Linked DNA regions of Xenopus tropicalis. The protein of the gene in region 1 purifies or fractionates together with the protein of each later gene. This does not show direct contact. Links are inferred from orthologs where the notes say so. Each region holds a gene or a part of one and is shown on either strand. Other genes may lie near its edges. The genes, in order: bach1, mafg and fam83d.

Region 1 (10,121 bases):
TATCTTAGTTGGGATCAAGTACAGGTACTGTTTTATTATTACAGAGAAAAGGGAATCATTTAACCATTAAATAAACCCAATAGGGCTGTTCTGCCCACAATAAGGGGTAATTATATCTTAGTTGGGATCAAGTACAGGTACTGTTTTATTATTACAGAGAAAAGGGAATCATTTTTAAAAATTAGAATTATTTGCTTATAATGGAGTCTATGGGAGATGGCCTTTCCATAATTCTGAAATTTCTGGATAATGGGTTTCCGGATAACAGATCCCATACCTGTACTATTGTATAGAGAGAGGCATGCTGTACTCCCATAGGCGGAGGGTGACTTTTTTGTTTGGGGAGGCTAAAGATGGGCCATACAGAGTCTGACCTACAGCTAATGTGAGACTTAGTGGATTTGCTGCTGGTGTAAAAAATTAACCTCCCAACTATCTCTTGCCGTTCCCACTGACTCCCAGGGATTCTGTGCAAAAGTGTGGGTGGGAGGGCTTTTTTACCCTAAAATGCTTAGGATGTAAACGTATTCATACGTGTGCTTCTGTTAGGGGGTCTCCATCCATTTGTGTTTAGGATCAGTTAGCTTAAAGGGGGGGGGGTCACCTTTAAATTAACTTTTAATATAATGTAGACATTGATATTCTGAGACAATTTGCAATTGGTCTTCTTTTATTTTTAATGGTTTTTCAGTTATTTAGCTTTTTGTTCAGCAGCTCTCCATTTGATTTCAGCAGCTATCTGGTTGCTAGGGTCTTATTTATACTAGCAACCAGGTAGTGGTTTTAACAAGAGATTGGAATATGAATAGTTAAGGGGCCTGCATGGAAAAATAAGTAATAAAAAATTACAATAATAATAAAATTGTAGCCTCACTTTTTGGCTGCCGGGGTCAGTGATCCCCATTTGAAAGCTGGAAAGAGGCAGAAGAGAAAGGCAAATTTCTCAAGAACTATAAAAAAATTAATTGGGAAGACCAATTGCAAAGTTGCTAGGAATAGGCCATTCTATAACATACTAAATGTTAACTTAAAAATGAACCTCCCCTTTATATGTGTTTAAGTTAGTTTTATAGAGAGAGAGGCAGTGGGTACTGACATCCCAGGCACATTATATATAGTGAGACGCAGTCTGTATTTACAAAACCAGCATATTACATGCCATGAGAAGCAGTGGGTACAGATGGCTGATATTCTGGCCCTGGCACTATAACACTGGCACCAATACACAACATTGGCCCCACTGTAACTATGAACAAAACAATGACAAAAGTAAAAAAAAAAATAGTAAGTGCAAAAAACAACAAATATATAAAAGCACAATGAGCTTTTTCAGGGGGAAAGAGTTAACTTACCATTCATATGTTAGGGTAGGGGATAGGGATATTATAAATGTCAGATCAGGCAAAAAACTATTTAATTTCAACTAGTGATTTAGCCTTTAGAACTGTATAGTACCTGTGTATAGCACCTGTGTATAGAACCTGGGTACAGTACCTGGGTATAGCACCTGTGGGAGTGGGATGAAATCTCCAGCAAAAGTTGAGAGTTGGTTCTCAGGTAAAGTTACAGTCTGCAGATTCTTCTTTTCAGTCTTTATTTCTGCACTGCCTTCAGTTTGCAAAATCACCCGATCCCTGTGCGCATCTGTGCTTTGATTGGTCAATTTTACTGTCAGTCAAGAAAGCTGTGCTCTGATTGGAGAATCCACAAGAAGAAAGATCCAGTTGGAGCACAGCATAATCGGCTTGCAGGTACAGAAGGTTTCCAGGGCAGTGCAGAAACTGAATGAGGTTTGTTTTTTTTGTTTTGTTTTTTCAAGGTGCCAAGCAGGTTTGGGGAGGCTTAGCCTCCCCTAGCCTTATTGAAAATCCGCCTATGTGTACTCCTGCTACTGTGGAATAACTCCCAGCTCTGCAGCTAAGGCCATACTAAAAGTTAAAGGCCTAAAATGCCGCACGGTTGCTGATTAAGAAACCTTTGTTAACATTCCTTTTTAATTTTTTTTTTGTAATGTCTCAGAATAGTACTTTCTACATTATACTACAAGTGTATTTAAAGGTGAACTGCGCCTTTAAATAACATTGTCATATTTTGTACTTATCTGCATGTTCGCATCAAATCACTAGGAGCAGCCATGATTGCTCTGATTGTGTCTGATGTATTTTGCTTTCCAGAGGCCAAACAATGATATAGTATATGATTGTATTTAAAAGAAGAAAGAGCCACACAAAGCTGTTATTCCATATCTATAACTATGATGCATACTGCTGATTGCAGTAGTTTGACAACTTTCATTGTGTCACTGTTATAGTGCAGCATAGTGCAGGCATAGATCCCAAAAGCAGTTCGTCCAGGACCGTGGATTCGGCCGAATCCAAACCTTGTTGAAAGAAGTTGAATCCTGGCCCAATACCGAACTGAATTCTGGATTCGGTGCATCCCTATCCCCCAGGGAATATAATTGCTAACCTCGGTACTTACCATAGGAACACCGTGCCACAAATCTTACTAAATTTCCCAAATACTCCTTGTGGCTGTTGAGGACAGGGCCACCCACAATGTGCATGCACTTTGCAAAGTAACAGTGGGAAATACCATATAGAGCACCGCTTCTAGGGTCCCTTTTCCAGTAAAGAGGGGTGCCATCCCAGGGTTCCAGGTTTGGGTATATATATATATTCACAAGCTTTGCCCACCACTGTGTTCAAATGTGTTACATGTATATAACCGAATCAGTAAATGCACGAGATATCCATATATGTGTGCAACATCTATAAAAAGGCTCTTTTCTCTTGTAGGTAACCGTGAAGGGCTTTGTTCCATTATTGCACTTTGCTTACACCTCCAAACTCCACGTCAACAAAGACAACCTATTAGCAATCCAAGAGTGTGCAAAGATTTTGGACATCCATGATATAGAAGAAGCCTGCTTTGAGTTTCTCAAATTAAAATACCAAGACCTCAAAGCCGACCTTCAGGAATGCCCTCGGAAGAAATGCTGCAAGTCGTTTTGTCCTAAGGCAAACGTTCAGCGTCAGCCTGACGTGCCCACCAACGTCGGAATAAATGAAGTTGAGGAACTTTGGAGAGCAGAGCTCCCCTCAAAAATCAAATGCGCGGCTGAGATTGAAAACATATCGACAGTTTCCGAGAGTCCAAAGAAGCCCTGTGAGACATTCTGCTTTGGTCGGGAGAATGACCCCGACAGTTCTGCCCTTTGCCCAAAATACAGGAAGTTTCAGAAAGCCTTTAAGAGCGACCGGGTTCGATCGATAAGCACATGCTCCAGCAACCAGGATGTTCCAAGCCCATTGCCTGTCCAGTCGAGTGAGGCTTCGGAAAATGTTGTTATGGCCAGATCCCAAAATCAGCCTCTAGAAATGGAGAGGAATGAGTTAAATCCACAGGACATCAATGTTACATACCTCAACCTCCCTTGTGAGGAAAAGACCAGTGGCAAAGCTGAGTTCCCTCCTAGTTTTCCCCTGGGACAGCAGGATTTTAACCCTGCGCCATTTCAATGTTCATTTCAGCCCTACAGAAGCTTAAACTACAACGAGGTGCCGGACCCCACTATAGAAGTTCTGCCGGAGAAGCCCAACAGTGACCAGCATGTCAGTCCGACAGCTGATTTATCCAGCACAAAGGAGCTACCAGGACCCGATTTGTGTGTCCCCGAGGAACGCAGCAATGTAGAAAGGGAAGTAGCGGAACATCTTGCAAAAGGCTTTTGGCCTGATATTTACAACAGCGAATTTCATTGCCAGCCAGAGATAGAAATGGTGCCTAATAATAAAGAATCACGTGAGGAAAGTAATGAGGAAAAAAGGCAAGAGTGTCCGTGGCTGAACATCACCATCAGTGAGGGCGGTGAGAGGACTTTTACAACTCTGAACTCGGTCTCTTGCCCCTTCATCAATACCCTCTCCAGCGAGGGCTGTGCCAACAACTCCCAACTCATGCTGGAGGAGTGCATTCAGGAGAAACAGCAAGACACGACCTGTCCATATGCATGTTCCATGACTCCCGAAGGCGACTCGGAAACGGACAGCGAGGACGACAGTGAGGAGTCCTGTTCCGCTAAAGAACAGGAATGTGAGGTAAATCCAGGTTGTTAGATTTCAAGTCCAGGAAGTATATCACAAAAATGGTGTCCCCCTTTTTATACAGGTATGGGACATGTTTTCCAGAATGCTCGGGACCTGGAGTCTTCTGTATAACAGATCCTTCTGTAATTTGAACCTCCATAACTTAAGTATACTAAAAAATATTTTAAACATGAATTAAAAACAATAGGATTGTTTTGACTCCAATTAGGATTAATGATATTTTAGTAAGAATTAGAAGTAAGAAGTAGTAGTAGTACAGGTATGGGACCTGTTATCCAGAATGCTCGGGACCTGGGGTTTTCCGGATAAGGGATATTTCTGTAATTTGGATCTCCCTAACTTAAGTCTGCTAAAAATCATTTAAATATTGAATAAACCCAGTAGGATTGCTCTGCCCCCAATAAGGGGTAATTATATCTTAGTTGGGATCAAGTACAGGTACTGTTTTATTATTACAGAGAAAAGGGAATCATTTAACCATTAAATAAACCCAATAGGGCTGTTCTGCCCCCAATAAGGGGTAATTATATCTTAGTTGGGATCAAGTACAGGTACTGTTTTATTATTACAGAGAAAAGGGAATCATTTAACCATTAAATAAACCCAATAGGGCTGTTCTGCCCCCAATAAGGGGTAATTATATCTTAGTTGGGATCAAGTACAGGTACTGTTTTATTATTACAGAGAAAAGGGAATCATTTAACCATTAAATAAACCCAATAGGGCTGTTCTGCCCCCAATAAGGGGTAATTATATCTTAGTTGGGATCAAGTACAGGTACTGTTTTATTATTACAGAGAAAAGGGAATCATTTAACCATGAAATAAACCCAATAGGGCTGTTCTGCCCCCAATAAGGGGTAATTATATCTTAGTTGGGATCAAGTACAGGTACTGTTTTATTATTACAGAGAAAAGGGAATCATTTAACCATTAAATAAACCCAATAGGGCTGTTCTGCCTCCAATAAGGGGTAATTATATCTTAGTTGGGATCAAGTACAGGTACTGTTTTATTATTACAGAGAAAAGGGAATCATTTAACCATTAAATAAACCCAATAGGGCTGTTCTGCCCCCAATAAGGGGTAATTATATCTTAGTTGGGATCAAGTACAGGTACTGTTTTATTATTACAGAGAAAAGGGAATCATTTAACCATTAAATAAACCCAATAGGGCTGTTCTGCCCCCAATAAGGGGTAATTATATCTTAGTTGGGATCAAGTACAGGTACTGTTTTATTATTACAGAGAAAAGGGAATCATTTAACCATTAAATAAACCCAATAGGGCTGTTCTGCCCCCAATAAGGGGTAATTATATCTTAGTTGGGATCAAGTACAAGGTACTGTTTAATTATTAAAGAGAAAAAAGAAATTATTTTTAAAAATTAGAATTATTTGCTTATAATGGAGTCTATGGGAGATGGCCTTTCCGTAATTCGGAACTTTTTGGATAACAGGTTTCCAGATAAGGGATCCCATACCTGTACTAAGAAATAGAGGGTACATTTTTTATTATTACAGAAAAAAGGGAAATGATTTTTAAAAATTTTCATAAAATGGGGGGTATGGGAAATGGCCTTCCCAAAATAACTTTTTGGATTAATTATAATCCAGAGCCTTCTGGATAGTGGGTTTTTGGATGCCAGATCCCATACCTGTATACGAAAGCTTATTGGCAGGGTTTCATAACGGTTTTTACCCAAAACACTTATGATAAGGTTATTTTTTACTGTTGCCTATTGCAGGATATTTCACACTTATCCTAGTTTTATCCTTGTTTGTTTATATTTATTTATAACAAACAATTAAAGTGCTGTGTAACTCGCTGGCGCTATAGAAATAAATGATCATAATTTTAAAAAGGTCAGGGAGATACACACTAAACAGACATACACAGACCTTGGCATTTGGCCAGTTCCCCTGACAGACGTATTTAGCCACCCAGGTGATCCTTGAGCCAGTGATTGGATCATATAGGATCATATACAGCCGTATCAGGAGGACTGCATTCATAGCTTGATATTGTCCTCGCCTGATGGGATTTTCTGCCCGTCCCAAATAGCTATTTGGCCTCATGTATGGACTCATAAACCTATAGTGGCCCATGTATGACTGGGCCATGATGTAGGGGAAAAAGGAAGTTTTGAGGAACACTTTTGCTTAAAAATGTTTGAATCTGGTGCTGGCAATGTTTAATTGGTGAGTTTATGTTGAACTTGATTGAACAAGTATAATTTCGTTATATTTGTAGTGCTTTTGCTCCCTGGATTCCCGGCTGGGCATTACCTTGTAGTGCCTAGCTAGGTATCCTGTGACCAGAAGCTCCACCAATTAAACAAAATGAATTTCAAGTTAATGTATGTTTAAGACCAGTTAATGTATGTTTCACCCTCTCCAACAAATATACAGATAAATGACATAGGCTGTTTGTAGTATGTTGTATGCCCTTTAGTAATATACATTCATTCTGATTCAGCAGATGTTTAAGCCAAAAATATGTTCTTACATTGTCCTCTCAATACAAACCTACATGGATGATTCTAGTGCAAACGTCATTCTAGGAAAGAGCCTCTGAGTTCATATAGTCATACTTGGCACCAAGTTGGTTCTTTAAGGCGTTGCGTGTCTGCGGTCGGCTCTTTGTTTACAAGACAACATGCAGCACAGATCAAACGCACAACATAGATCAAGCTGAAAAGAATGTACTGAGCTTTTCTGTAGGTGCTATATAGCTTATATGCTATAGCCCATGGCTTACAGGGATTCTATTGTCAAAATAAAGCATGTCTGATTCCGGGAAACAGTGAATCATTTTATATAAAAGCTGGGGAAAGTAGATTTTCATTGGGTTATATGGACCCAGACACAAAGGTCGCCTCCAGTTTAGTAACATAGTAAGTAACATAGTAAGTTAGGTTGAAAAAAGACATATGTCCATTAAGTTCAACCATAATGCCTATATATAACCTGCCTAACTACTAGTTGATCCAGAGGAAGGCAAAAACCCCATGTGAAGCCTCTCTAATTTGCCCCAGAGGGGAAACAATTCCTTCCTGACTCCAAGATGGCAATTGGACCAGTCCCTGGATCAACTTGTACTGAGAGCTATCTCCCCTACCCCTGTATTCCCTCACTTGTACTGAGAGCTATCTCCCCATACCCCTGTATTCCCTCACTTGTACTGAGAGCTATCCCCCCTACCCCTGTATTCCCTCACTTGTACTGAGAGCTATCTCCCATACCCCTGTATTCCCTCACTTGTACTGAGAGCTATCCCCCCTACCCCTGTATTCCCTCACTTGTACTGAGAGCTATCCCCCCTACCCCTGTATTCCCTCACTTGTACTGAGAGCTATCCCCCCTACCCCTGTATTCCCTCACTTGTACTGAGAGCTATCTCCCCTACCCCTGTATTCCCTCACTTGTACTGAGAGCTATCTCCCCTACCCCTGTATTCCCTCACTTGTACTGAGAGCTATCTCCCCTACCCCTGTATTCCCTCACTTGTACTGAGAGCTATCTCCCATAACCCTGTATTCCCTTACTTGCTAAAAAGCCATCCAACCCCTTCTTGAAGCTATATAATGTATCAGCCAGCACGACTCGGGGTGGGAATCCCACAACTTCACAGCGCTCACTGTAACAAATCCTTTCCGAATATTTAAATGGAACCTCCCTTCTAAACGGAGGGGGTGCCCTTGTGTCAGTTGAAAGGACCAAGTCTTGACACCTTTCCAGAAAAGTGGAGATCTAGACTTTCTGCAACGACACTTCTTGAGATCCGACTCACTTCTGTAGTGATAGGGGAGGATCGGGAAGTCATACGATGCAGGCAGGAAACATGTAGAGCAAGAGTCCCCAACCTTTTATACACATGAGCCACATTCAAATGGAAAAATTGTTGGGAAGCAATACAAGCATTAATAAAATTTCATGGGTGCCAAAGAAGAGCTATGATTGGCTATTTGGTAGCTTATATGGGCTGGCAGCCTACAGAAGGCTCTGTTCAAACTAGTGCAGAGCAGGAAGCTATATTTGTTTAATAGGGTTAATGTATGTCTTTAATAAGTTGTGATAGTTGCTTATTATTTCGAAGAAAGAACTTTATTCACCACTAATTTCAAATTCTATCTGTAATGAAATTTCATGCATCAAGGAAATCCAAATGTCTAATATTTTTGTCCTTCATTGGACTTTTACTAAATGATATATTAATTTCCATTGGTATTTATATTGGTATCTTGTGATGGTTTAATTGCAGAAGTTATGCATATGGTTTTTTACATTTTATTTTTTTGCTAAATTTGAACATTTTTTCCCCAGACAAAACTGCCATTCAACGCACAAAAAATAATTTCCCTTTCCCGATATGACTTCCAATCACTGGTCAAAAGGCACAATCTCTCGGCCGAGCAGTTGGACTGTATCCATGACATACGGCGCAGAAGTAAAAATCGAATAGCTGCACAGCGATGTCGCAAGCGGAAACTAGATTGCATCCAGAACCTGGAGTGTGAAATCCTTAAACTGGTATGTGTTATTTTGCTGAAATGCCTCTTCCTTATATTCGTCATTAAATATCTATCTTGTTTATAGTTCTTATCAGGAGATTCCGTTACTCTATTCTAACAGATACACTTAGTCGCCCGCGACAAATCTCCCTGTTCGCGGGCGACTAATTTCCCCGAAATGCCATCCCACCGGCGAAAATGTAAATCGCCGGTGGGATGGCATACGCGGCGGCGCGATTTCAGTGAAATCGCGGAAGTTGCCTTGAGAGGACATTTTTGCTGGTGGGATGGCATTTCGGGGAGATTAGTCACCCGCGAACAGGGAGATTTGTCGCGGGCGAGTAATCTCCCCGTGTGCCAGAGCCCTAAGAGGCCACCTTTATTGTTAGGTCAACACACTAAGATTTTCCAGTATTTAGTATCTGCATTGTTAGATTGCTTCTTCTTCCTATCGCTTAAGTGGAACTGTGTAACTGTCACCTGCAGTTGCCGTCCATGTCCTTAGCAGTGCCATATTTGTAAAAGCTTCACAGTATGTGGCCTCTGCTTTTCCAGAGACAAGCTTTAAACTCTGAATTTAGACAAATCACATACGACTAACCTTTTCTAGGAGTTTAGGTATACACAGAGAGGCGTATTTAACCAATCAGTAATTCGATTTTAGCGGTTGCCTACAAATTAAGGTTTACCAAGCAAGCGGATCTTCTCCCGATATCCCCACCTATGGGTGGGCGATATCAGGCGAATTTAGGCTAATTCGGTCTTTTGGCCCTGGGGCCAAACAATTGAATTAGAGCGCCGGTAATAGGCTGAGTCAGTTCGGGGACCGCATCAACAAGCCGATAAGCTGCCGAATCAGTCTAAGGGACCGATATCGTCAGCCCATGTATGGCCTCCTTAAGAAACAAAAGCAAAGATCTGATTGGTTTCTATGGTCAACATCTGGTGATGTTTGTCTCCAATGTTGCTTAATTAGGGATGCACGGAATCCACTATTTTCCACTAAGATCCAGCAGGAACACTGAATCCTTTGCGAAAGATTCGCCCGAATACTGAACAAGTAAGGGCTAAAGAGTACCACGTGCAAAGCGCTTGGTGAAAAATTTTCAACTTCTGTGTTTCTGTGGATTCAATATAATCCACTTACTAATAGTATAATGACTGGTGTGATCTTTTTTTAATATCCTTATTATTTTCTGTAGCAAAATGAAAAGGAACACTTGCTGAAAGAGAGGGACCAAATATTAAACACTTTGGGAGAGACCAAGCAAAATCTGACTGGACTTTGCCAGCAGGTATGTCGAGAAGCTGCCCTGAGCCGAGAGCAAATGCAAATCCTTGCAAAATATTCCAGCACCGAGTGTCCCCTCTCTTTTTTACTCCTGGAAAAGGATAAAATGCTTCTTCAGTGTGACTCCATGTTGCAGGCTTGCCATTTTGCCGAAGGATTACCCTCTGTGGAGACAGGCAGGCATCCCGACGTCTGTAATGGTATTCT
Region 2 (10,211 bases), on another chromosome or scaffold:
AAAGCCAACAATATATATTTTGCATTTTTATAATAAGATACATTGTACCATTATTAAGGCACATGCACTGGCACATCTATATGGGACTAAACAACAATGTTGTCTCCCTCTCCATATGAACCTAAATGTAACAGTGGCTGTATCGCAATTATGTATGATAAACTGCAAGTACAACATCTCAGCAATAAAGTCCACTACATTGGAATACATAAAACTTTATAGGCAAAGTAATACAATTCATGAATAGAAACACATAGTTGTTCTTTTGTTCTCAAAGTTTACTGAAAAATTATAAAAACAAACAAGACTACATTTGTATACAAAAATAAACATGTTTTCATGTACATTGTCATCAGAATTTTTTTGACAAGGTGTACATTCAAAACAATAAACACGGTTGCTAAGTGGGGAGATCCTGGTTGGTGGCTGCAATTATTGGGTTCCCTCTGGGGCCCTCTTTGATGGCCCAGGAGGCCAGAAGAGGATTTGGGCTAATTTCCCCTTTGCTCATGCCTAGGGGATTCATTGGCCTCCAAGAGGTACAGCCGTCTGGTTAACTTCAGTAACAGTAAGGTCCTGTGACCTTATAGGTTAATTTTAGTACAACATGTAGGCAACAGAGCAGCAGATGCCATAGAAGTGCTATTCTCTGTACTTGCCTTCCTCCTTTTAGGAGTGCATTTACTCTCAGTGCAGAATGCACTTAACCTGATCAACAATTATAGTGCATGCATAGTTATTTTCTCCCCCTCTGGGCCTGATCAACAAATATAGTGCATGCATAGTTATTTTTTCCCTCTCTGTGGCAAATTAGGAAGACATCGGAAGGGTTTTTTTTGCCTTCCTCTCAGCAGCCAGCAGTTTTGCAGGTTATTTATAAGCATTAAGGTTGAACTTGATTCACGTGTGTCTTTTTTTCAACCTAACTTACTCTGGTACTAACGAACACCTAGAAATTTATTTTTTGGTAATGTATGAGAAAAACATGAAAGAAGACACATATCCCCTGCTAATCGATTTGTTAGGAAGACTGGTTATTACAGAGTAAATGCTACAGACTGACCAGGTGGGACTGATTAGACAGCTGGCCAATCAAGAAGCTGAAAGTCTGGCTAGTCGGCCTACATGAGAGCTCTGACTGAGAGACATAGGTGTCTGTGAATCCAACATACAGGAATCTATGTGGCTGTACACACTCAGTTGCCTTTGCAACTGAGTTCTGTAATATTGCTGAAATTGATGTGTCACTGTAATGGAGGAATTCTCTTTTATACACTCTTGTTACATCTGTATCTGGCTATTGAAGTAAGATTTGTATCTGCATGTGTAAATTGCAAGAGGGTGACGGATCTAAGCCTGCTCGTGAGCAGCACAAACCCAAATGCCTGAAGTGCTGTGTATATATGGATATAAACAACAAGTTGCTTTACTGTTAATGTACAAATGCAGCTTCACCAGCACCCAGCCCGGCTCCATTCCTTTATTTTCCCTTTGCACATGTTTGCTGTTGAGTGTGGCCACATGACATGCCACAGCAAATGAGCTTCCACTTTGCTCTGTCACTCACACATTTCTGCGTCACTGACGCAGACCAGGGAGCCAGAGATTCTGAAGGGTGGGAGATGGGAGGCTGCTTCAGTAATTTTCCATAACTTTGTAACAATGCAAGTTATAAATTGTCAAAATTTTTGTCTAGACTTTATATTTTCAATATTATAAAAACATTTTTCATGATTGTTCCCCTTTAAGCAGTTTGATAGTATAACAATCCTCCCTACATGAACCATGTGTCCCTAAGGGGCCCTAATTGATTCTTCACAAAGGACGAACCACTCAACCTATATTATTGTACCTTGCTTCAAATACCATATTTTACATATTCTCTTGCCAAGTGAAAATGAGTCTGAACTCCATTCTTTCTCCACCAATGAACCTTTGTCAGTCATCTACAGAAACAAGGTTGTCTTGAAGGCTATATCCCTTCCAAGTGTTATTTAAATAGTTGCCAGACCTGGAACTTAATAGTGAATATAAACAGGTATTGCACTGATGACATGAACTTGAGTGTATGGAATGGGGGACCAGTCCTCCTTTTCCTACAATAGCCAATTTTCCTTTTGCAAAAGAGTCACTACTTCTGCTCCTCGGAACTACAGCCTCTCCAGAATAATATACAACCATCCACATGGCTTCCAGTTCACACATGTACAAAGTTCTGCTGGCCCATCATAGTTGCCTTGGCTGTTGGACATGCTTTGGACATGCCTTGCTGCAAGTGGTTGCTGGGCCTTCTTATCCCTCCCAGCAGGGCCGGATTTGTCTTCTGGGCGCCCCTAGGCCACCCCCGTTGACCCCCCCCCCCCCCAACGCGCATGCGCGAACGAGTGAACAACCACCTGCGAGCACGCATACGCACACATTTAAAGTCCCATAAGATGTTCCCACCGCTCCGAATGGAAAAAAACTTTAAAAACCCTGTTGCGGGGGGCGTGCCGCCCCTACATTTCTGCCGCCCTAGGCCCAGGCCTTTATGGCTTCTCCACAAATCCGGGCCTGCCTCCCAGTCAAGTTATGGTACAGCTTTTGGATGTCCCCATACGTCTGCAGGACAGGAAGAGCAGCCTAGAGAAAATGAGATTTTCTTACTGGTAAATCCTTTTCTTGGATTTACTGTCAGTGCAGTAAGCCCCCCCCTTATCTCCTTTAGAGTAGTTGGCCTATGGGGTACCTGGCTATGCTGCCATGGTTATACAGTTGCTTAAAATTTTTGTTTTGTTCTTCCTTTTCCATCTAGTTATCCTTCAACAGTTTTTTTATGTACTCTTTCTTATCCTATCCTGTGTTTTTTGTTTTTTTTAAATACAGCCTCATCGCAGGTGAGCCACCTGCACCTGGAGAGAGCTCCTAGCGCACGCAGCCATGTTATTTAGTGCACATTAATAGCTGTGACAAGTAGCTGCTACTAAGTAGCTCCATGTGTCTTCACCCTTAGAGTTGTTAAACTAGGAGTATCTCACGGTTCCACTGTTAATAAAAAGACCCATTTGGATTCCTGGAAAACTACCCATTTGAAAATATATGAATAAACCTCACGCTCCAGGTATACTCTCTTTACAAATTGAACTATCCTCCAATGTGGGAAAAAAAGTAAGAACTTATTATCCCAATGGACTAAATACAAAATATCCTGGTTAGGACGAAGATGTTTATTTTACCAAAACTATATTTTTTTCACTCCCTACTTATTCCAGTACCTAAGACTGGGCTCATTACTTCACAAAAACTTTTAAACAGGTTCATATGGAATCATGGCTACCCTTGTGTTTTGGGTGCCATTTTATGTAAACATAAGAAAAGTGATGGTTTAAATTTTCTCAGTTCATTAAAATATTATCAGGCAGCTCAAATATCTCCTATAACTGTATTACGTTTCCGATTAACACAATTTTTTTGTGGTTAAAATCACAATATGCCAAAAATTTAGAGTAACCACGATAATTTCTGATGTTCGAAAATTATTTTATCGGTCGTACGAAAATATTATGGTTCGTTTTGAAAGTCACAAAATTTTCGGATCTGAACGTTCAGAAATGGCCCAAAAACCTTTCTGGCTTTGAAACCTTCAATGCATGATTTTGAAAGCCTTCCCAACTTGGCCAAAAGATAGTCACGATACCAAAGCTTGAATAAATTCCGAAATGATTGCAGTCTTTACGAAAAATACGACTTTCTTGTGGAAGTTAACGAAAACCACGAAAAAGTTGTGACATTTTAATGAAATTATCGTGGACATTACGAAAAGTTCAATAAATTAGAAAAAATACAATTTTTTCTCAAAAATAAAAATTGTGGTTTAATGAATGGGCCCCTAAGTGTAAGGGATTTCAGTTTTATCCATTTGCCTTCCATGACAAGCAGGCCCTAGAGCCTAGACCCTCAAAGTTTGTTTGTAAACATCCTGTAACTAGGATGAAACACAGTAGTAGTCACTGCAGACTATGAAATATTTCATTTCCAGTAACATGTAATATTTGATGGTATCCTTTAGCCAAACCTTAAACCATGTGACCAGCCTAAGAAAGTCTTGCTCAGCTGCAGCATCTGACTTCAGATCTCCCCTAATGTTGCTTCCTCCTTCCACTTTGGTCCAAATTTCATCCATGAAGTTAAGGATGGATATAAGGCTAAGATATTAATGCTAAACCTCACGTTAGGAAGCATTTTAATAAATATAGATGTTTTCAAAAGAACCCAGGATACTTCCCATAGTAATAGGGTTACAATGCTTACCAACAAAACCAAACCTTCTTTTAGGTAGTTAAATGTTATACTTATCTATTTCTTATCTAAAACTTTTGTCCTTTCTTCATCTTTATGACAATTACAACCTGAACTGCATCTTTGTTTTATAATATTTATTTGAATTTCTGCTCTTTCAAAACATTCCCTTATCTTTAGAATTGTCATCCGACAGACTTCCGGTAAAAAAAATCTTCCACGTTCAGCTACTCCCCTTCCTGTGATATCACATTGTCCAATAAGCACAGATCAGACCTGTGCTGGCTCCCACCTCTTTAAAGCCACAAGCTCCTCTGCCGGGGAACACAGAAATGTGGTTCCAGTGGTACAAATGTATTTTCCCAGTGTATCTTCAGGAGGCAGTTGCTAAACCCATTAGCTGTTGCTAAGTGGCAATCCTATCCCTAGAATAAATATTGTTTGCTGGTCATAAATTCCTGCAAACGCTTCTTTATTTCATCCTGGGCAACGGAGTTACTAATCCTGTAGCCTGCCTCCTTGCTTAGCTGTCCATCTGTCACCCTGCCCTCCTCTAATTCTGATTGGATGTGCTGCCAGAACCTGTGTGAGTGACATGATGCACACTGGGTTCTCCGTTAGCTGAATGGAAACGTTTTCTCCCCCTCCTTCCCCTCCCTGTTGGATAACAGAAAAGGTATGCTTTTTTTTTTCATTTTCTGCAGTCACAGTAGAAATATGAGACATGGGCTCTGTACAGGGAAAATTATTTTTGCACAGCAGCTGTCAGTTGTGTGGGCTCTGAGTTTAGGAACAAAAAAGAGAGAATATTCATTGAAACGCCTGGAGCGGAAAAGGGAATGCAAATTTTTTTGGAGGGGGGTGGGGCATGGTATTCTTTCATCTATATGACAATTACAGGCTGAACTGCATGTTTGATTCATAAGCCCCATTTGCCCTGTTCCAAGGCGTATGGGTCCAGGGGCACTGGAGACAAGCAAGGCTTATTTACAGATGGGAAGGCACACATTGTGTTGTGTTTCCTTTCATCCTGGCATCCTGGGCAATTCAGCTACTGATCATGCAGCCTGCCTCCTTGCTTAGCAGTCCATCTTCTGCCCCGCCCCCTCTGCTTGTGATTGGATGTGCTGCCAGGCACTGTGTGAGTGACATGCCCCACACTGGTTCTCTGTCGGCTGAATGGAACCACTTGCTCCCCCTTCTCCCTCCTTCCCCCTCCCTGTTGGATAGCAGAAAAGGTATGCTTTTTCATCTTCTGCAGTCACAGTGGAAATATGCAATGTGCGCCCTGTATGGGGAAAAGGGTTGCTAACAGAAATTCATAGACTCTCAGCAGGTGCAGAGACTATATTCTCTTGCCTTATAAATGTATTCATTAAATGCAGGCTTCTGGGCTTTTGCCTTATAAATGGATTGAATGTATTCTGCCTGGAGAGCTGTTTTCTGTGCCTCTTTTATTCTTCCCATCTCTAATGTGTACAACTGGGAGTTCTCGGCCTCTCTTGATTAACTGGCTATGCAGGTACTGATAACATGGTGTGAAACTAAGTTTAATACTATATTTGGCGCATATACAGTGGTGTGAAAAACTATTTGCCCCCTTCCTGATTTCTTATTCTTTTGCATGTTTGTCACACAAAATGTTTCTGATCATCAAACACATTTAACTATTAGTCAAAGATAACACAAGTAAACACAAAATGCAGTTTTTAAATGAGGGTTTTTATTATTTAGGGAGAAAACCTACATGGCCCTGTGTGAAAAAGTAATTGCCCCCTGAACCTAATAACTGGTTGGGCCACCCTTAGCAGCAATAACTGCAATCAAGCGTTTGCGATAACTTGCAACAAGTCTTTTACAGCGCTCTGGAGGAATTTTGGCCCACTCATCTTTGCAGAATTGTTGTAATTCAGCTTTATTTGAGGGTTTTCTAGCATGAACCGCCTTTTTAAGGTCATGCCACAACATCTCAATAGGATTCAGGTCAGGACTTTGACTAGGCCACTCCAAAGTCTTCATTTTGTTTTTCTTCAGCCATTCAGAGGTGGATTTGCTGGTGTGTTTTGGGTCATTGTCCTGCTGCAGCACCCAAGATCGCTTCAGCTTGAGTTGACGAACAGATGGCCGGACATTCTCCTTCATGATTTTTTGGTAGACAGTAGAATTCATGGTTCCATCTATCACAGCAAGCCTTCCAGGTCCTGAAGCAGCAAAACAACCCCAGACCATCACACTACCACCACCATATTTTACTGTTGGTATGATGTTCTTTTTCTGAAATGCTGTGTTACTTTTACGCCAGATGTAACGGGACACGCACCTTCCAAAAAGTTCAACTTTTGTCTCGTCGGTCCACAAGGTATTTTCCCAAAAGTCTTGGCAATCATTGAGATGTTTTTTAGCAAAATTGAGATGAGCCTTAATGTTCTTTTTGCTTAAAAGTGGTTTGCGCCTTGGAAATCTGCCATGCAGGCCATTTTTGCCCAGTCTCTTTCTTATGGTGGAATCGTGAACACTGACCTTAATTGAGGCAAGTGAGGCCTGCAGTTCTTTAGATGTTGTCCTGGGGTCTTTTGTGGCCTCTCGGATGAGTTGTCTCTGCGCTCTTGGGGTAATTTTGGTCGGCCGGCCACTCCTGGGAAGGTTCACCACTGTTCCATGTTTTTGCCATTTGTGGATAATGGCTCTCACTGTGGTTCGCTGGAGTCCCAAAGCTTTAGAAATGGCTTTATAACCTTTACCAGACTGATAGATCTCAATTACTTTTGTTCTCATTTGTTCCTGAATTTCTTTGGATCTTGGCATGATGTCTAGCTTTTGAGGTGCTTTTGGTCTACTTCTCTGTGTCAGGTAGCTCCTATTTAAGTGATTTCTTGATTGAAACAGGTGTGGCAGTAATCAGGCCTGGGGGTGACTACAGAAATTGAACTCAGGTGTGATAAACCACAGTTAAGTTATTTTTTAACAAGGGGGGCAATCACTTTTTCACACAGGGCCATGTAGATTTGGAGTTTTTTTTCTCCCTTAATAACGTAAACCTTCATTTAAAAACTGCATTTTGTGTTCAATTATGTTATCTTTGACTAATAGTTAACTGTTTTTGATGAGCAGAAACATTTAAGTGTGACAAATATGCAAAAGAATAAGAAATCAGGAAGGGGGCAAATAGTTTTTCACACCACTGTATATGCATGCTGTACATGGTTCATTGGTCATGTGTGAAAATGTTATCTGTCAACCAGTGCATGGCCACTTGTACTGTTTCTGTATCCGTCTATTTGGCTCTGTGGCTGATCAGTTGGATACCATACAGGTTCTGCCAGTGTACGGACAACTTAAAGGGGACATAGAATGTGTCAGTGCATTATACTCCTCTAAATATAGAAGGAAAGTGAAACATATTCTCACCAAATCCAGTGGAGACCAAAACAATAGTGTGAGTGCATTCAGTTTATTTAGGGATGTTTAAGAAAATATGTTTTGGATCACTAGGGATCCAAGTTGAAACCTTTTTGCAGGGGCCGTTAGGACATGCTCATTACTCATTTCATACATGGACAAGGGGCCATAGATGGGACAGCTGGGAGCTCCAATAAAGGGTCCTTTTTTCTATAACTTTATTAGTTTTAGAAGGAAAAAAAACGAGATAAACAATATACTTGAAAGGTGAAAGTTACAGGAAAAGGTTCCATTGTTAAAGGAACAGTAACACCAAAAAATGAAAGTGTATAAAAGTAACTAAAATATAATGTGCTGCTGCCCTGCACTGGTAAAAGTTGTGTGTTTACTTCAGAAAGTCTACTATAATTTATATAAATAAGCTACTATGTAGCCATGGAGGCAGCCATTCAAAGGAGAAAAGGCACAGGCACATAGCAGATAACAGATAAAACACTATTGTATTCTACAGAACTTATCTGTTATCTGCTATGTAACCTGTGCCTTTTCTCCTTTTTCCAGCTTGAATGGCTGCCCCCGTGGCTACACAGCAACTTATTATATAAATTATAGTAGTGTTACTGTAGCAAACACACCAGTTTTACCAGTGCAGGGCAACAGTGCATTATATTTTTATTACTTTAAAGCTCATTCATTTTTTAGTGTTACTGTTCCTTTAAAGCTAATGATCACTTTAGTTCAGAATAAAACCTGTACCATATACAGATATGGAACCTTTTATCCAAAATGCTCAAGGCCTGGGGTTTTCCAGATAAAGGATGTTTCTGGAATATGGATCTCCATACATTAAATTTACAAAGAAATTATTTAAATATTAAAAAAAACGCAATGGGACTGTTTTGTCTCTAATAAAGGATTAATTTTATCTTAGTTGGGATCAAGTAAAAGGTACTGTTTTTAATTACAGAGAAAATTCAGAGACTTCTGGATAATGGGTTTCAGGATTAACCTGTATTATTCATTGCCTATAAAATAAGGGAGGTTTCAAAATACGCTTTATGACTCCTTGAAACCCTGTGTTATGCTGGCAAACATAGGAATGTTTATTACTTATCTTTCTATTCAGACCCTCTCCTATTCATATTCCAGTCGTTCATTTAAGCCACTGTCTGGTTGCTAAGGTAACGAGATCATAGCAACCAGATAACTACTAAAAAAAAGCTAAATAACTGAAAAACCACAAAACTAAAAATTGAAAATTGCCTCAGAATATCAATGTCTACATCACTTCAACAGTTAATTTAAAGGTTACAGTCCCTTTAATATATTTCAGTCTTTGATAAATATGGCCCAATATCCAGTGCCCTCCATGTCTGGGACAAAGCTACATTTTCCTTTGATTTACACCTCTGCTCCTCAGTGTAAAAGTTTAAATGAAACAATTCAGATGTGATTAAAGTGCACATTCCAGGCTTTAATTTGAAGGTATTTGCAAATGTTTCAGTTTCACTATGTAGAAATTACAGCGCTGTTTATACCTAGTCCCCCTCATATCAGGGCACCATAATGTTTGGGACAAAGTAATGGTAGGTATATTAAAGTAGTCATGTTTAGTACTTTGTATCCCTTGCATGCAATGACTGCGTGAAGTTTACTCTAGTGCAGCCATCATCAACTCCTGCTTGTTCCAGGCGTTTATCAGCATTTGGAAGGCTCAATTGGATTTAAATCAGATGACTGGCTTGGCCATTGAATAATTTTCCATTTATTAGCTTTTAAAAACTCCAGTGATTCCTTAATGTTTGGGATCATTATCTTGTTGCAGGCTGAAACTCCATCCAATGAGTTTGGAGGCATTTACTTGAACTTGAGCTGATAAGATGTTTCTGTACAGCTCAGAATTCATTGTGCAACTGCCATCAGTAGTTACATCATCAATAAAGATAAGTGTCATGGTTTGGGCAGGTACAGCTGCCACAGGTACTAACACCCCCGCCACCATGTTTACCAGATGAGTTGGTATGCTTTGAATCTTGGGCTTTTCTTTTTTGTCTCCACACTTTCCTCTTGCCAACACTCTGATACAGGTAAATCTTGGTTCCGTCTGTCAATAATACCATTTTCCAGAATTCTACAGGCTCTTTTAAGTACTTTTTTGCAAACTGTAATCTGGCCATTTTTGTGGCCAACTAGTGGTTTGCATCTTGCAGTGTAGCCTCTATATTTCTGTATATGAAGTCTTCTGCGGACAGTAGTCTCTGACAAAGACACACCTGCCTCCTGATCTGCTGGACAGGCATTTGAGGATTTTTCTTCTGTCATGAGCAGTGGAGGTCTCCCTTGACGATTACAGAGCTCGCCAGTGCAGTCTTTCTTAATGATATTCCAGACAGTTGATTTTGGTAATCTTAAGGTTTGACCGATGTCTCTAATGGTTTTATTCTTGTTTTTCAGCCTCATAATAGCTTCCTTGACTTTCGTTGGCACAACTTTTCTCGTCATGTTGAACAATGGCAGCTACAGACTCCAAATGG
Region 3 (10,221 bases), on another chromosome or scaffold:
CTGGCAGCTTTATTTTCCAGTTGGCTTTTTGATCTGTAGCATTTGACCAGTATTTCTGGTCAAATGCTACAAATAGAAGTGTTGCAGAATAAAACTAGGATTGGCAAGCCCTGTTCCTAAAATCTTACAATCTGCGATGGAAGTAAAGTGAGCAGTTGAGTTGCTGCTGCGGCAATCAACCCTCCTGTGCCATAGCCACCAGAATGTAATGATAATCTGTTATCATTCAGTAATTAACTTCTCAATCTTCTACACAGAGAGCTTCTCTGGATTCTGAGCAAACACTGGGCCCTTCTGAATCCCAGTTCCGGAATGGATTCTGCCCTCCTCTGCCTTCCTGCTACTGCCCTTCTCCGCTGCCTGATATCCCGGTGCCAACGCCACTTACAAACGGTAACATCAGCCACTCCCTGCCCTGTTATACCGGAAGCCCCCTGTGGAGCAGCATCCTGGACCAAGCCCCCCTAACTCTGTCTGAACTGAAAAGGCAAAGGTCTGCAGCCAAACAGGGGAGACTGATGCTAAAGAACAATAGCGACTTGCAGAGGCTCACAGGGCTAGATTATAACAGCCCCGGCACACCTCCCTGGTGCTCCAATGGGGGGCCCGTTTACTATACCCCAACCAGTGGGGACCCTCCCATCCTGAGGTTAAAATCTCCCATGGAGGAAGAGGAGGAGACGAGAATATTGCATTGCTGTCGGATATCCTAAACTGGAGGCCGTGGCTTTTGAGAGAATGTTCTGGAATAGCGTACAAGTGCAATGCATGCTAGTTTCATGTATATCTGTACATAGGAAGTCATGTATGCCTGTAAATACTGACCTGTATCTAGCTGTATATAGAACACCCCACTCTACCTGCCTATACAGAGTTTTACAAGTACCTCTTCTGTACACAAATCTGGCTGTATGTACACCATGTAGTGTATACTTGTACAGAATCTACCATTGTAAATGCAGGGCTCTTTATATCTGTATATACACGACAATGTATATCCACAGAGCTGTATAGTTCTGTACAGGTACTGCGGGGGTGTAAATATGCAGAGGGGTGTAAATTTGAGGGTGAACTGTTTATTTACAACAGTTTGACTGCTGTATGTAATGGACTGGTATAACTTGGGCAAATGGGGCATAAGTGGGCGCTGCTGAGAAGTACTCGGCCTTGCCCAGCTGGCACCACAGTGTCTGCCATAGGCAGAGCGTTTCCTATTCCCTTTATGGGGGTTGTTGGAGGATGATTAAAGACATAGTACTGCAGTTCTCCCTAAGACACCATGGGGTAATTAATACACTATGGTCCTTAGTGGTCAGGGGAACCGGCCTGTGATCTGAACTGGGTAACCAAGAAACATAGAATTTGACAGCAGAAAGGAGGCAGTTGATCTGCCAGTTCTGCCCAATAAACGCCTAAAAGGGATCATCACACGATTTACTGCAGCCTTTACTTGTGCGGAGTTCTTTTCTGCCCTTCCAAGGTTCATATTTCATATATTTATATATTTATATTTGTCCAGTGCTTTTGTTTACTCAGCTTCAGCCAAGCTTTCCTTTCTGTTCTGCCTCAGGCACCCACAGGCAGCAGTGTAGTGAGTGTTAATAAGTATCTGGCTTTGCCTTGTGGGACCTGCGCTCTGATATTCAGTGTAGGACTAGAATTCCTGCCGAAAAGCAAAGCAGGACTGCTGTCCGGTAGTCAGAAGGGTAGCAGGAAATAGTCTCCCCAGTACACTATTGCTCCCTACAGCAAACACTTTTCTTTGCAGTTTCACCCCCCCACATCTGCAGGAAGATTGGACTGACTTCAAGGCAATAAATCTCATGCAGAGAGGGGTTTGATATGGAGTTAGAGCGGTATTTGCCTGTTATTACGCACGTGTACCCCACGATAATCAGCCGCGACCCTTAAACGTTTTACAGGTTCAGTGTATTCCAAGCTCCTTTTATAATAAAGCTCATTTTAAGGAGAGTCACTTGTGTCTTTTTCTGATCCCTTATTAAGGGTGTCTCACAGCTTCTCAGCGATTTAGTATCTCAAACCTAGAAAATATGGCGGGAGAGCTAAATAGGGGTGCTCCTATGGCATACCCCCCAAATGTCTCGCTTTCTGCGGGACTGTCCTGGTTTTTATAGTGCATCCCGCTGTCCCGGACAAATACACAGTGCCCCCATAGACGCTCCTTCTTCTGCAGTTTGGCTACTTATGTTTCTCCTTGTGCGGCGGCAACAGGCCCTTTTATAAGGCTGCGCCCCGTGCGTATTGACGTCACATGTACACACGGGGCGCGACCCTTTAAGGAGCCGCAGAAGAAGAAGGAACGTCTATGGAGGCACTGTATTTGGGGGGTACTGTCTATGCGGGCAATTGGGGACACTTTCTATGGGGGCATTGTGTATGTGGGGTACTGTCTTTTGGGGCACTTTCTATGGGGCACTGTGTATGGGGGCTACTCTCTATGGGGCAATTGGGGGTGCTTTCTATGGGGGGTACTGTCTATGGGGGCAATTGGGGCACTTTATGGGGGGTACTGTCTATGGGGCACTTTGTATGGGGGTTACTGTGTATGGGGGAACTGTGTATGGGGGGTACTATCTATTGGGCCATTGGGGGCAAAACTGGTACATAGTTATAACTCACTTATAACTGACTGCCTTCTCTCTATATTTGTATTTTATATGTATGAGTTGCTATATCATTTCCCTTAGGTAGTACAGTATGAGGGTATAGCACATTTTGCGTCTGATCCTGCCATTTCAACTATATAAAAGGAGTATTTTTTTTTTCTTAAAAATGGGGTGTGGTAATTGGGTCATGGTTACAAAAGTGGGCGTGGTCAAAAATTGCCATGCTGCGCGCGCCAAATCTTTTTGTCCCTCTTTTCATTTTTTAAATGTTGGGAGGTATGGTATGGGTGAGCATTTCTGCCAGGTTCTAGCCGCTGGGTTTTATGCCAATGGGCTTGCATTCAGTACAAGCTGCCCCATTGCGTCCCTGTTGGGTTATACTTCAGGCCAGCCAGTCACAGTCCTGGAGCAGGGGTTTAGGGTTATATGTGGATTGAAGGGGTGAAACTGGTGGTCAATGGCTTCTTTGATGCTTTGGGGATATCACTAAGGGGTCCTACCTAAAATGATGCCCCCCCCACCTTTTCCATGTTTGGTATCTATCATCTATCTATCTATCATCTATCTATGTATCTATGTATCTATGTATCTATCTATCTATCTATCTATCATGTATCTATCATCTATCTATCATCTATCTATGTATCTATCATCTATCTATCTATCTATCTATCTATCTATCTATCTATCTATCATCTATCTATGTATCTATCTATCATGTATCTATCTATCTATCTATCTATCATGTATCTATCTATCTATCATGTATCTATCTATCTATCTATCCATGTATCTATCTATCTATCATGTATCTATCTATCTATCTATCTATCTGTCTGTCTGTCTATCCGTCTATCCGTCTATCCGTCTATCCGTCTATCCGTCTGTCCGTCTGTCCGTCTGTCCGTCTGTCCGTCTGTCCGTCTGTCCGTCTATCCGTCTATCCGTCTGTCCGTCTATCCGTCTGTCCGTCTGTCCGTCTGTCTGTCTGTCTATCTGTCTATCCGTCTGTCTGTCTATCTATCTATCTATCTATATTTCATCTAATCCAGCAGTTCTCAACCTGTGGGTCGGGATCCCTTTGGGAAAACACATATTTCCCATGGTTTTAGGAATAATTTTATGGTTGGGGGTCACCACAACATGAGGAACTGTATTGAAGGGTGGTGGCAGTAGGAAGGTTGAGAGCCACTGATCTAATCTACTGTACAGTATATAGATGACATAGTAGTTCCTCCCCCCCCCCTCCTTTTCCATGTTTGGTATAATCCTATGGTTGTGAAGCCCTGGGGACAAACCGACACTCAGGCAGCAGACAAGTGGTTTCCCAGCCTTTCCCTTTCATAAGTACAGTACTGAGCTAATTGGCCAGTGAGCGCTCGGCATTGACAGCATGGGCGTTTCTGGGTGCTTCTAGTCCAATCAGCAGGCGGGGGTGTGATTGGCTCCACCAATTAGCGCGCTCCCCGGGCTTGTTTGGATTTAAATGCCCGATAAGTACGCTAGTCTCACAGCCCATCAGTTCTGTTCCCGGAGCGGCTCCGGGTTGTTAGGTCCCTAGCAGCCAATAATGGCTAATAACTCCCAGTGCCTGGATGATATGCCCATGGGAGGGCGCTGGCCGGAGGGCCCCCCGGATCACTATAACGAGGCTCACCGACTGGCGGTGGAGGAATTAGTATCCGGGGGCCCGGAAGCCATGCGGGGATTTCTGAAGCGGGAGCGGCTGCCGAACTTCTTGTCGGAGCCGGAGGTGGGGGAGATCCTGGGCTGCGCCTCGGTGCTTCCGTGCGGGGATGAGGAGAACTCCGTGTCCGCCTCGGTGGATTGCTCGTCCGTCACTTACTTCCCCGATCGCTCGGACGTGGAGCCGCCTATCCTGGAGCTGGGCTGGCCGGCCTTCAGCACCGGCTCGTACCGCGGCGTCACACGGGTGGATGTGCACTTCCAGCCCAGCTTCGGGGACACCATCTATACCTGCAAGGAGGCGGCCCGGGAGCTCATCAAATCGGCCCGAGAGGTAGGGCTGGGGGCAAATCGGGAATGTCCCCCCCTAGTATTGGGATACTGTCTCCTTAGGGGTGAAGACACACAGAGCTACTTAGTAGTAGCTACTTGTCACGGCTACAAAACACCAGAAAATCCCCTGCCATAGACAATACTGAGAATTGCCTCTGCTAAAACACACGTAGAGACAATTATCAGTAAATGATCAGCATTGTCTGTTTTAGTAGCCACAACAAGTAGCTGCTACTCGTAGCTCTGTGTGTCTTCACCATAAGGACAGTGACACACGGGGAGATTAGTCGCGGGCGACTATTCTCCCCACAATGCCATCCCACTGGCTAGAATGTAAATCGCTGGTGGGATGGCTTACGCGGCGCCGCGATTTGCGAAAGTCGGCGAAGTTGCCTTGAGGGCTCTGGCACAAATCTCCCTTGTCACGGGCGACTAATCTCCCCGAACTACCATCCCACCGGCGAACATGTAAGTCGCCGGTGGGATGGTACACGCTGCGCCTTGTGAGGCATTTTCGGCGATTTGACGAAATTGTGCCGCCGCGTGTGCCATCCCACCGGCGACTTACATTTTCGCCAGTGGGATGGCAACTCGGGGAGATTAGTCGCCCGCAAACAGGGAGATTTGTCGCGGGCAACTAATCTCCCCATGTGCCAGAGCCCTAAGAGGAAACCAGCGACTTCAGCAAATCGCGGCGCCACGTATGCCATCCCACCGGCGATTTACATTTTAGCCCATGGGGAAGGCATTGTGTCACAGCCCTAATAGCTTTTTTTATTTTACTTTCAAGGGCCCCCCTTGTCCCCTGGGAAAATGCCATAAAACAGCCTTGGGTGGGAGTGAGAAACAGGATACACACTAGGATTAAAGGGGAGATGCACCCAAACATTTCTAAGCAACTTTTCAGTATCCTTTATAGAGTTCCAATGGTTATTTGTAAATGCAAGTTACTACTGAAAGGTATGCTTGTTTATCCTTTGTTTGGGCCCAACTCAGTGGTAGGACTACAAGGGAGGCAGGGGGGGGACCAGGCTCCCCCAGTCGCCCCAGTGATTCATTGCTTCAAGGGAGGAGAACAAAGTCCTGCAACCACCCCCCTCCACTAAACTGAATGGGAAATGCCACCATTGTGCCTTGTCTCTGCATTTTAAGCCACAAGATGTGACTGTGCTGTTTTCCATTAAGGAGGGGTTTGTTTATCCTTACCCAACTCCTTTGAAGTAAATAAATCCCTGGGGGGAGAAAATGCTGCAAATCTCCCTGTGTACCATTAGGGCTCTGGCACACGGGGAGATTAGTCGCCCGCGGCAAAACTCCCTGTTCGCGGGCGACTCCCTTAGGGCTCTGGCACACGGGGAGATTAGTCGCCTGCGACAAATCTCCCTGTTCGCGGGTGACTAATCTCCTGAAATTCCATCCCACCAGTGAAAATGTAAATCGCCGGTGGGATGGCATACGCGACTGGCGAAAATGTAAATCGCCGGTGGGATGGCATTTCAGGGATATTTGTAGCTGTCACTTCTTGCTGTAATAGTGGGTTTTTAGGGTGGCATATTAACACACAAGGAAAAAGATTTTATTTCTAGCAGCTACTAATTTGATTTGTCACTTGTTGAACTACAACTACCAGCATCGTCCGGTGTAGCCTGAGCCAAGCTTGCACTGTATCTAAAAACAAATCATCTCTATGTCCCCTTTGGGTTCTCGTTTGCTCTGTAGATGTTCATTTAACTGTTTTGCTTGAAGCCAGAGGGAATGTGTAAGCCCAATGCTGAGGTATGGGTGGGATATGAGCAAGCAGGGAAGGGGTGCCTGTTACTGCAGGTGGGACACGGCAAGTTCCATCATGAAACAAACTGTAGGACTCTGGGTGCCTTGTGAGAATTCCCCCAGCTTTGTCAGCAGTCCCCTCAGGGGACCCTGTAATACAGGAGGTATGCTTGCAGTGCCAGGGGCGGTTAAATATGGCAAGTATATTCATATCTCCAAAAAGCTCTTCTTTTTTCCTCTCATTCATAGAATTAACCCCTAAGCCAGTGGTCCCCAACCTTTTTTGCACCACGGACCGGTTTCAAGCAAGACAATTTTTCCAAGGACCAGGGATGGGGGGGTGGCACAACTAGTTCATAGTATATCATTTAATTACATATATAATGTAATTATTAAATGTTATGTTATGCACTTTATTATTATTACATACAGCTTAATAATACAAGTACTTTGGTCCTTGTCGTGATCAGTAGAAAGCTTCCTGGGCTTCACATAGCTGTCATGGCTGTGTAACACATCGGGGAGTTGGGATCACAGGTAATTGGGACCAGAGGTGGCCTGTTCAGCACAGCCCATGGCCCGGCACCAGTCCCCGGACTAGTGATTGGGGACCACTACCCTAAGCCCACAATAATGGTTAATGTATGATGGAAAAGACTATGCCCTTCCAATTCTAGAGGATCACCCCCGAGGAACCCGTCCTCTTCTCCCATAAACTCCCTGCCAAAAAAGGGTAACTGCCACCCACATTGGCAATATTCTGCCCCATATAAGTAAAAAATTTGAACAGCCGTGCCCTTTTACTTGCAATGCTGACCAGAAGAGCTTTTTTGTGCCCCTACAATGGCATGGAGGGTTCACATTACTAGTGCAATTGCTCTTTCTGCACTATAGGAGCTGTATTTCCAGTTTAAAAAATGGAATTTTAGCTCTTTAAAAATTAAGGTTACCAGAAGCAGCTTTTACCTGCCCCGGTAACCCGTGGGACACTGTCACTTGAGGCGCTTTTCTTAACTTGGAACCCCTGGTAATCAGTCGTTTTCTTTAGTCGCTGAGCACTCTTGATGCCTTAAGTTGGGTCTATAGGGCCACCACTTGCTAATTACTGGCCTACTAAATAAATATATATATATATATATATATATATATATAATAAAAAAAAAAACCAAAACAGATATATAGATAACATTGCTTGACCCCCGGGATTATCATGCGAAAATCCTTTTTTCCCTTTACCGTATGAATCTGTTCATCTAGCTTACAAAGACTCTTCCTTGGAAACAAGTGCCCTTGTTTCTAAGCTTTTGTCTCGAGCTCATCTGTCACGCGCTGTGCAGGCTTGTGCCCTATTGCCCGGTTTAGCACAAATGTCTGTTCCCATAGCTACACAGCAACTTATTTATACGCTTTAGTCAGGGCTCTAAAGCAATCTGTCTGTGCCAGTGGAGGAGCCTAGGAAACCATGGTGTCGCTGGTCCTTTCGTCTTTCAGTTATTCTGTTTATGTTCTCTGCACTACTGGTTCTAACTTCTGAAACAATATAGCAGAAACCAGCTGATTTACACGCCTAATGGAGAATAGAACCATTATTTTTTTAAATTAAATTATGATTAAATAGGTAGAGGTCCCATTTGTCTGAATACTGAATAAAGGTGGTTTTAGAACTGAAATTGTTACTAACCTCCTTGCCCAAGGCACCCCCCGCCCCCATATAAATATATGGCTCTTGGTTCAATGGGGACTACTGCTTGTGTGCATTTATTATTATTATGCCCTTGGGGGTTACCCTGAGCAATTAAACACCCACTGCACTGTAAGCATAGTATCTACATTACTGTACTCCCTGAAGGGACTTCTGACAATGCTGGGAAAATAAAAACCCAATTAAGTCTGGCATTTATGTGCCTGTGCTTGTCCTATGGCTCTGCAGATGCTTCCATTCCCCTCTTTTTCTGCCACTGCATTAATATTGCAAGAGTTGGAACCATCAGGGATCAGTATACTGTATTCCTATAGTGCCACCAAAATAAAAACCGTTGGCTACCAATAAAGGCAGTTAATCTACTCCTTATCCATAATTCTCTTATGGTTCCTTATTTGTGTTTTGGTAGCTGATTGTTATTGTGTCTGAGCTTTTTTTTTCATGTTTTCTGCAGACCCAGTTTGTAGCCAGGTAATCAGAGCTTTAAAGGGGAAATATGCCATATTTATAAGAGGGGGTTATCTTTATTTGTAAGGCCTGGACTGGCAATCTGTGGGTTCAGGCAAATGCCAGAGGGGCTGCTGTAAGATGCCATAGACAGTCACTATTTATTGGGCTGGGGGGGGGGCTGTTTGTGCCTCTGGGTACTTGGAATGCCAGGACCCAGGCCCAGACTGGCAATCTGTGGGTTCAGGTAAATGCCAGAGGGGCTGCTGTAAGGTGCCATAGACAGTCACTATTTATTGGGCTGGGGGGGGGCTGTTTGAGCCTCTGGGTACTTGGAATGCCAGGGCCCAGGCCCAGACTGGCAATCTGTGGGTTCAGGTAAATGCCAGAGGGGCTGCTGTAAGATGCCATAGACAGTTACTATTTATTGGGCTGGGGGGGGGCTGTTTGAGCCTCTGGGTACTTGGAATGCCAGGGCCCAGGCCCAGACTGGCAATCTGTGGGTTCAGGTAAATGCCAGAGGGGCTGCTGTAAGATGCCATAGACAGTCACTATTTATTGGGCTGGGGGGGGGGGGGTCTGTTTGGGCCTCTGGGTACTTGGAATGCCAGGACCCAGGCCCAGACTGGCAATCTGTGGGTTCAGGCAAATGCCAGAGGGGCTGCTGTAAGATGCCATAGACAGTCACTATTTATTGGGCTGGGGGGGGGGGGGGGGGTCTGTTTGGGCCTCTGGGTACTTGGAATGCCAGGACCCAGACCCAGACTGGCAATCTGTGGGTTCAGGCAAATGCCAGAGGGGCTGCTGTAAGATGCCATAGACAGTCACTATTTATTGGGCTGGGGGGGCTGTTTGGGCCTCTGGGTACTTGGAATACCAGGACCCAGGCCCAGACTGGCAATCTGTGGGTTCAGGCAAATGCCAGAGGGGCTGCTGTAAGGTGCCATAGACAGTCACTATTTATTGGGCCAGTGGAGGCTGGTTGGGACTCTGTGTACTTGAAATGCCAAGGCCTGTATTGAATGCCAATCCGGGTCTGACGGAGGCCAGAGCCCTAGCACATATCATACTAGATCTAGATATAATTATTCTTGTATCTGTTCTTGTTCTTTGTTTACAGGTCATTGCTTTGGTCATGGACAACTTTACTGATAATGACATATTCAGGGATATCCACGAGGCTTGCCGGAAACGTAGGGTCCCTGTCTACATTCTGCTGGACCAGACGCAAGTTTCTCACTTCCTTACTATGTGTTACAATCTGGGGATTTCCATTGAAACCGAGCAGGTGAATAAGTAGTCTAATTGGTTTTTAGGGTCACAAATAGTGAAAAGGAACAGGGCAACCCCGTTTTGCCGTCTAAATGTTACTCAGACTCCTAAGCGTTGTGTTGCCTTTTTATTGCTATTCCATCCCAATGTCCATAGTTCTGTTCATGTTTCATTTTTTTTTGGAGACGATCCCTTATTGAATGGAAGCTGGCAAGCCAAAAAGGCAAATATTTGCACTAAGCTTCCCGTATTGTTGCCTTGACACTGACTGCTGCTTTTGTTTCTGTTCTCTGCCAACTCCATTTGTTCCCCACAGCACATGAGAGTCCGAACATTAACTGGGAACAATTATTACACGCGCTCGGGTACCAAGATCGTTGGGAA

What was found.
Region 2: the proteins of bach1 (region 1) and mafg purify together in Homo sapiens (affinity purification with mass spectrometry; 5 studies listed by BioGRID and IntAct, counting the BioPlex papers as one, with this or other methods). This does not show direct contact. The link is inferred for Xenopus tropicalis from reciprocal best matches to the Homo sapiens genes BACH1 and MAFG.
Region 3: the proteins of bach1 (region 1) and fam83d purify together in Homo sapiens (co-immunoprecipitation; 3 studies listed by BioGRID and IntAct, counting the BioPlex papers as one, with this or other methods). This does not show direct contact. The link is inferred for Xenopus tropicalis from reciprocal best matches to the Homo sapiens genes BACH1 and FAM83D.

The regions. Positions count from the first base shown.
Region 1 is NC_030678.2:16,546,855-16,556,975, reverse strand, and holds part of bach1 (transcription regulator protein BACH1), read left to right. Parts: intron 1-2,798; coding exon 2,799-4,100; intron 4,101-8,435; coding exon 8,436-8,642; intron 8,643-9,825; coding exon 9,826-10,121. UniProt on the Homo sapiens protein: Transcriptional regulator that acts as a repressor or activator, depending on the context. Binds to NF-E2 DNA binding sites. Plays important roles in coordinating transcription activation and repression by MAFK.
Region 2 is NC_030686.2:27,978,488-27,988,698, reverse strand, and holds the start of mafg (transcription factor MafG), read left to right. Parts: upstream 1-3,827; 5' UTR 3,828-4,903; coding exon 4,904-4,954; intron 4,955-10,131; coding exon 10,132-10,211. UniProt on the Homo sapiens protein: Since they lack a putative transactivation domain, the small Mafs behave as transcriptional repressors when they dimerize among themselves.
Region 3 is NC_030686.2:40,351,295-40,361,515, forward strand, and holds the start of fam83d (protein FAM83D), read left to right. Parts: upstream 1-4,126; 5' UTR 4,127-4,197; coding exon 4,198-4,647; intron 4,648-9,685; coding exon 9,686-9,853; intron 9,854-10,153; coding exon 10,154-10,221. Other genes in the region: ppp1r16b (protein phosphatase 1 regulatory inhibitor subunit 16B), read left to right, coding at 258-713.